Saccharomyces cerevisiae S288C: one gene and its partner. The gene in region 1 interacts genetically with each later gene. Each region holds a gene or a part of one and is shown in the gene's direction. Other genes may lie near its edges.

What was found.
Region 2: mutations in MVD1 (region 1) and ERG11 impair growth when combined (synthetic growth defect), as found in Saccharomyces cerevisiae (2 studies listed by BioGRID, with this or other methods).

Annotation. Positions count from the first base shown.
Region 1 is NC_001146.8:700,284-703,914, forward strand, and holds MVD1 (diphosphomevalonate decarboxylase MVD1), read left to right. Parts: upstream 1-1,611; coding exon 1,612-2,802; downstream 2,803-3,631. Other genes in the region: MRX15 (Mrx15p), read left to right, coding at 1-177; COQ2 (4-hydroxybenzoate octaprenyltransferase), read right to left, coding at 258-1,376; AGA1 (Aga1p), read left to right, coding at 3,416-3,631. UniProt on the Saccharomyces cerevisiae protein: Diphosphomevalonate decarboxylase; part of the second module of ergosterol biosynthesis pathway that includes the middle steps of the pathway. MVD1/ERG19 converts diphosphomevalonate into isopentenyl diphosphate.
Region 2 is NC_001140.6:119,557-123,630, reverse strand, and holds ERG11 (sterol 14-demethylase), read left to right. Parts: upstream 1-1,947; coding exon 1,948-3,540; downstream 3,541-4,074. Other genes in the region: superoxide dismutase SOD2, read left to right, coding at 41-742; YHR007C-A (uncharacterized protein), read left to right, coding at 866-1,081. UniProt on the Saccharomyces cerevisiae protein: Sterol 14alpha-demethylase that plays a critical role in the third module of ergosterol biosynthesis pathway, being ergosterol the major sterol component in fungal membranes that participates in a variety of functions.

The DNA of each region.
Region 1 (3,631 bases):
GGTAGCGTTGTGAAGAATGACGCCAGGATCTTGGACTGCTTTTTCAACAGTGTGGCAGAAAATAAGCTATTGAACAGGTCAATATTAACTCAGATCCTTTCACATACGTCTGCCAAGACCCTATTTCACTCGGGGAATTCTAGATCATCCATCAAGAATATCGTGAAGCCCAAATAGGTACGGACATCTACGTAAGAATGCATGTAAATAATAATCGAATAAAAGAACAATTAAACACTTGTATATGCACGCTATATCTACAAGAATCCAAACAGTCTCAAGATGTAGTCGACTGCCAAGGCGTACGTAAAGTAAAGTCCGGTGTTGATATTTGCATTAAAATACTTCCAGCAGTTTTTAGGATTGTCAAGATCCACTTTCTTTATCATGCTGAAGAGTCTATAAGCGAAGACTCCTAGTCCACCAATGAACCCAGGCCCCCATAACAACCCACTGTTCAAGCCGGCGACAGCTAACAGTGCGATTTGAGACGCGGACATGGCCTTCATGATAGACTTTGTGCGTGGACCCCAAGCCAAAGCGGTAGACTTGATTCCAGCCTTGATGTCAAACTTTTTATCCTGGTGTGCGTATATAGTATCGTAAGTCATACACCACAAGTAACTGCTCAGGTACAAAGGTATCATTGTAGGCCAGCTCATTACACCCATGGCAGGAAACCCAAGTAACGCTCCCCAATTGAAACATGCACTTAATGCAGCTTGAGGATAGTACGTAAACCGCTTAAACAAAGGGTATGTGAACACAATAGGTAACGATGCAAGGCCTAGCCACCAACACTGCGCAGGAAGCAAAGATAGAACGCCCATTCCAACAAGAGTTTGAGCCCCCAAGAATACTAACGCCCGACGGGGGCTCACTCTACCAGAGGCGATAGGCCTCTCGACGGACCTGATAACTCTTTGATCCAACTTTCTATCCAAAAAATCGTTGATGGTGCAGCCAGCACCTCTCATTACCAATGCACCTACACCGAAAATACCCAACATACCAGCTGTTGCGCTCAATGTAGCACCTTGCATCATGGCTCCCATAAGTATAGACCAACTGCAGGGCAAATATAACAGCCACGTGCCCACGGGTTTCTCTAGCCTCATCAGCTCCGCATACGGTATCCATTTCTTAGGCAGCCGAGACACGAACGGTCCCAGTCCATCCAATCTTTCCTTTCTTGCAACTTCCAACTCTTTCGACGTAAACACAGGTGCTGATTCTTTCGAGGAAGGGGAGGAGGAGGAGGAGGAAGAAGACGTATATCTCTTTCTGCTGCTTCCAATGATTCCAGCAACGGTAACTCGGCCGCTGCCCAGAATGGACCTCCCTAGTAAAATACTCTTTCTCTGCCAAATAAACATTAGTTGACACTGTTATTCTACGACAGTTATTTCTACTGTAATCTATAGTATACTCCGCCCTTCTGATAACCTTACTTTTAATTTTGGCCTGATTCTTGTGAAACTTTTCCACGATGCCGAAATCGCCGAAATGGCTCGTTTAGCCTTTTCTCGAAGATTGATATATAAAGAGCATCCATCGTGCTGGTAATGGTGATGCAAGATTGAAAATTCCCAGACAGTGAGCACCAGCACAATGACCGTTTACACAGCATCCGTTACCGCACCCGTCAACATCGCAACCCTTAAGTATTGGGGGAAAAGGGACACGAAGTTGAATCTGCCCACCAATTCGTCCATATCAGTGACTTTATCGCAAGATGACCTCAGAACGTTGACCTCTGCGGCTACTGCACCTGAGTTTGAACGCGACACTTTGTGGTTAAATGGAGAACCACACAGCATCGACAATGAAAGAACTCAAAATTGTCTGCGCGACCTACGCCAATTAAGAAAGGAAATGGAATCGAAGGACGCCTCATTGCCCACATTATCTCAATGGAAACTCCACATTGTCTCCGAAAATAACTTTCCTACAGCAGCTGGTTTAGCTTCCTCCGCTGCTGGCTTTGCTGCATTGGTCTCTGCAATTGCTAAGTTATACCAATTACCACAGTCAACTTCAGAAATATCTAGAATAGCAAGAAAGGGGTCTGGTTCAGCTTGTAGATCGTTGTTTGGCGGATACGTGGCCTGGGAAATGGGAAAAGCTGAAGATGGTCATGATTCCATGGCAGTACAAATCGCAGACAGCTCTGACTGGCCTCAGATGAAAGCTTGTGTCCTAGTTGTCAGCGATATTAAAAAGGATGTGAGTTCCACTCAGGGTATGCAATTGACCGTGGCAACCTCCGAACTATTTAAAGAAAGAATTGAACATGTCGTACCAAAGAGATTTGAAGTCATGCGTAAAGCCATTGTTGAAAAAGATTTCGCCACCTTTGCAAAGGAAACAATGATGGATTCCAACTCTTTCCATGCCACATGTTTGGACTCTTTCCCTCCAATATTCTACATGAATGACACTTCCAAGCGTATCATCAGTTGGTGCCACACCATTAATCAGTTTTACGGAGAAACAATCGTTGCATACACGTTTGATGCAGGTCCAAATGCTGTGTTGTACTACTTAGCTGAAAATGAGTCGAAACTCTTTGCATTTATCTATAAATTGTTTGGCTCTGTTCCTGGATGGGACAAGAAATTTACTACTGAGCAGCTTGAGGCTTTCAACCATCAATTTGAATCATCTAACTTTACTGCACGTGAATTGGATCTTGAGTTGCAAAAGGATGTTGCCAGAGTGATTTTAACTCAAGTCGGTTCAGGCCCACAAGAAACAAACGAATCTTTGATTGACGCAAAGACTGGTCTACCAAAGGAATAAGATCAATTCGATATGTAACATTTTTCTTTTCTTTTCTTTTCCTTTTTTTACAATAGCTAATTTACGTTTCCCTACGGTATTGGTCGGAACGACCAAGCTTCAATTTATAAATATCTTAATTTTAACAGCAGTTACCACTTGAATGAGAAACTTTTTGATGCCTACTCTTTTGCTTTTTCATATCATGACCTCCCTACATGCTTCGGAATTTCCTTATTCGTAGCTGTCTAACAGCACCACTTAGCACAAGTACGTCCACCCGTTTCATACTTAAAGATCTCAGCAGCCACCCAATCTACATTTAGGGTACCTGTCACATATCTTCTCAAATTTTAGGTTAGCTTTCAATTGTAAAGTCTCTTTTTGGATATTGCACGTTTCAAGTCAAAACGCGGCTGTAACATAATTTTCTGAAACAATATTAAAACATAGTAATGACTTAAAACAAGCGACTATCGCAAATAAGCAGTTCCCAGCAAGCAATTAAAACGTATATAAGCGCAGAATAATGATCTATCATCAATAATTATCGTGAACTTTTCCAGTATTTACGTTCATCTTTGAAAAACGGCGAGCATTAACAATAAAAGCTAAAAAAACCAAAAAATTTCAGATGACATTATCTTTCGCTCATTTTACCTACCTGTTCACAATATTGTTGGGATTAACTAATATTGCCTTGGCATCTGATCCAGAAACGATTCTAGTGACGATAACCAAGACAAACGATGCAAATGGGGTTGTTACAACTACAGTTTCACCCGCGCTAGTCTCCACATCCACTATCGTTCAAGCTGGCACTACGACATTGTATACGACTTGGTGTCCA
Region 2 (4,074 bases), on another chromosome or scaffold:
AACCCCAATTGATAACTATACCTCCTAAAAACGTACCAGGATGTTCGCGAAAACAGCAGCTGCTAATTTAACCAAGAAGGGTGGTTTGTCATTGCTCTCCACCACAGCAAGGAGAACCAAAGTCACCTTGCCAGACTTGAAGTGGGACTTCGGTGCATTGGAACCTTATATCTCCGGTCAAATCAACGAATTGCATTACACCAAGCACCATCAAACTTATGTGAACGGATTCAACACTGCTGTTGACCAATTCCAAGAACTCTCAGATCTTCTGGCCAAGGAGCCCTCTCCCGCAAACGCAAGAAAAATGATTGCTATCCAACAAAACATCAAGTTCCATGGCGGTGGTTTCACAAACCACTGTCTATTCTGGGAAAACCTGGCTCCAGAGTCGCAGGGCGGTGGTGAACCACCCACCGGCGCTTTGGCAAAGGCAATCGACGAGCAGTTTGGCAGTCTGGACGAGCTGATTAAGTTGACCAACACAAAGCTAGCAGGCGTGCAGGGCTCCGGATGGGCCTTCATTGTGAAAAACCTCTCTAATGGAGGCAAGCTGGACGTTGTTCAAACCTACAACCAGGATACCGTCACAGGCCCACTAGTTCCTCTAGTTGCCATTGACGCCTGGGAACACGCCTACTACTTGCAGTACCAAAACAAGAAAGCCGACTACTTCAAAGCCATTTGGAATGTGGTCAACTGGAAAGAAGCATCCAGAAGATTCGATGCTGGCAAGATCTGAAGAAAGAAAGAAAGAAAATACCTTTTTTTTTCCACTGTGTCGTTTTTATTCTAACTACTCTACTAAATCACACAACCACACTCCCCTATTTAATAATATATTTTACTATTAAAATACATATACATGCATCGTAAAAAAAGAAAAAAAGAAAAGAAAAGAACCGAAAAAGACAATACAACCAACCTTCCTCCACTTTTTCTTTTTCCTTGTTCTCTCTCGCTTCCTACGTTACTCGCGCCTGTGCACTACATTCCCACCAGATTAACTCACCACCAGGCAGAGAACCAATTGTTCTTGTTATTGTTCCAACCGATAATTGTAAAGCCATTAAGGTCGTAAACGACTGCTTACTCAGGGAGATCTCCGAAAACGGCAATTGCTGTGCACCGTGCGACGTTATGATCGCCGCCTGTCCCGTACAGACGAACAATTGCAACAATGGGCGGTTGTTTAGAGAGGTTTTGTGCCGCGCCCGGGAATTACCGGGGGCACAGCAAAATACGAAATTTCCGGCAAAATGTCTCTGTACGAAAATGAGGCCAGCCTTTATTCCCGACTAAGCCGTACGATTATAGTAATGTCACACGAAGTGGATACTATACGAGCAGCGCACATACAATGTGCGTGCAAGATTTGCCGGGTTGGACAATCTTAAAGGCCGATAATCCACGAAAAACGAGACAAACGAAGCGCTGGCCCTAAACGAAACGAAACGAAACTAAGATTTCAAGATAATCGCTTTTCAGATGACAATAGTCTCTTGCAGAACACAATAAGTGTGGTAGGTATCTTGCAGGAGACATCGATTTTATGCCTGAATTTTTTTTTTTTCTTGGTATGAGCACATCCTATTGTGCATCTCCACGAGTTAACGACGTTTACGTACTCGCATGTATTCGAAAAGCCTCTAAAAATTGCCCTCCATGTGTATTCATTATATAAGATAGCGTATTTTCCCTTAGTTTTCTTATTCCCTCTTAATTCTCTCTTTCAATGTCTTTTTTTTTTTCCCTTTTCCTTTTTCCCTTTTCGTTATTGGTAAATTATTTATAAAAAGATTGATAAGCAGTATCGTTCAGCGTGTGTATTTTCGATAGGAAGTAATAATTTTTCATTATATTAATTAATAGTTTCCAGAAAAAATTTTTTTTCCTTCACAATTGCAGCAGGCTTGAATAGAAACAGAACAAACGAGTAATACAAGGATGTCTGCTACCAAGTCAATCGTTGGAGAGGCATTGGAATACGTAAACATTGGTTTAAGTCATTTCTTGGCTTTACCATTGGCCCAAAGAATCTCTTTGATCATAATAATTCCTTTCATTTACAATATTGTATGGCAATTACTATATTCTTTGAGAAAGGACCGTCCACCTCTAGTGTTTTACTGGATTCCATGGGTCGGTAGTGCTGTTGTGTACGGTATGAAGCCATACGAGTTTTTCGAAGAATGTCAAAAGAAATACGGTGATATTTTTTCATTCGTTTTGTTAGGAAGAGTCATGACTGTGTATTTAGGACCAAAGGGTCACGAATTTGTCTTCAACGCTAAGTTGGCAGATGTTTCAGCAGAAGCTGCTTACGCTCATTTGACTACTCCAGTTTTCGGTAAAGGTGTTATTTACGATTGTCCAAATTCTAGATTGATGGAGCAAAAGAAGTTTGTTAAGGGTGCTCTAACCAAAGAAGCCTTCAAGAGCTACGTTCCATTGATTGCTGAAGAAGTGTACAAGTACTTCAGAGACTCCAAAAACTTCCGTTTGAATGAAAGAACTACTGGTACTATTGACGTGATGGTTACTCAACCTGAAATGACTATTTTCACCGCTTCAAGATCATTATTGGGTAAGGAAATGAGAGCAAAATTGGATACCGATTTTGCTTACTTGTACAGTGATTTGGATAAGGGTTTCACTCCAATCAACTTCGTCTTCCCTAACTTACCATTGGAACACTATAGAAAGAGAGATCACGCTCAAAAGGCTATCTCCGGTACTTACATGTCTTTGATTAAGGAAAGAAGAAAGAACAACGACATTCAAGACAGAGATTTGATCGATTCCTTGATGAAGAACTCTACCTACAAGGATGGTGTGAAGATGACTGATCAAGAAATCGCTAACTTGTTAATTGGTGTCTTAATGGGTGGTCAACATACTTCTGCTGCCACTTCTGCTTGGATTTTGTTGCACTTGGCTGAAAGACCAGATGTCCAACAAGAATTGTACGAAGAACAAATGCGTGTTTTGGATGGTGGTAAGAAGGAATTGACCTACGATTTATTACAAGAAATGCCATTGTTGAACCAAACTATTAAGGAAACTCTAAGAATGCACCATCCATTGCACTCTTTGTTCCGTAAGGTTATGAAAGATATGCACGTTCCAAACACTTCTTATGTCATCCCAGCAGGTTATCACGTTTTGGTTTCTCCAGGTTACACTCATTTAAGAGACGAATACTTCCCTAATGCTCACCAATTCAACATTCACCGTTGGAACAAAGATTCTGCCTCCTCTTATTCCGTCGGTGAAGAAGTCGATTACGGTTTCGGTGCCATTTCTAAGGGTGTCAGCTCTCCATACTTACCTTTCGGTGGTGGTAGACACAGATGTATCGGTGAACACTTTGCTTACTGTCAGCTAGGTGTTCTAATGTCCATTTTTATCAGAACATTAAAATGGCATTACCCAGAGGGTAAGACCGTTCCACCTCCTGACTTTACATCTATGGTTACTCTTCCAACCGGTCCAGCCAAGATCATCTGGGAAAAGAGAAATCCAGAACAAAAGATCTAAGGTTTGTAACTGAGAAAAAAAAAAAAAACAGAAAAAGAGAGAAGTTGTACATTCACGTGGGCCTTATCGCCACACTCATCCATCTCCAATGATTTATTTTATTTGCCAGTACGTTTGATATGACATCGAGTTATGTTCTTTAGTTACTTTCAAACTTGGACAACCATCCCGCATTATTTATGAGTGGTATGGTTTCACTTCTTTATTTATAAATATTTATACTACGAAATTATATATAGATTACATTTCTAAAACAACATCAAATATAAGGTTTATTTATGCAACATGCCTACTGGATTAGAAGAGAGAACACACAGCTCACAGGCCAAGCGGAAATAAAGCAGTCTTTTCGCAAACTTGTAAATCTTTTTGCAATTTAAATTAATCAAGAGAGGGCCCAGGAGGAGAGGAGTTTTGGGGAGGGGTCACTGAGGAAGCTCTCTTAAATATGGATTCACTGAAATAAATGTATATAAGATTCATTACTGCTTTTTATAGTGATAAATCCAAATGATGAGTGAATTGAACCATCCT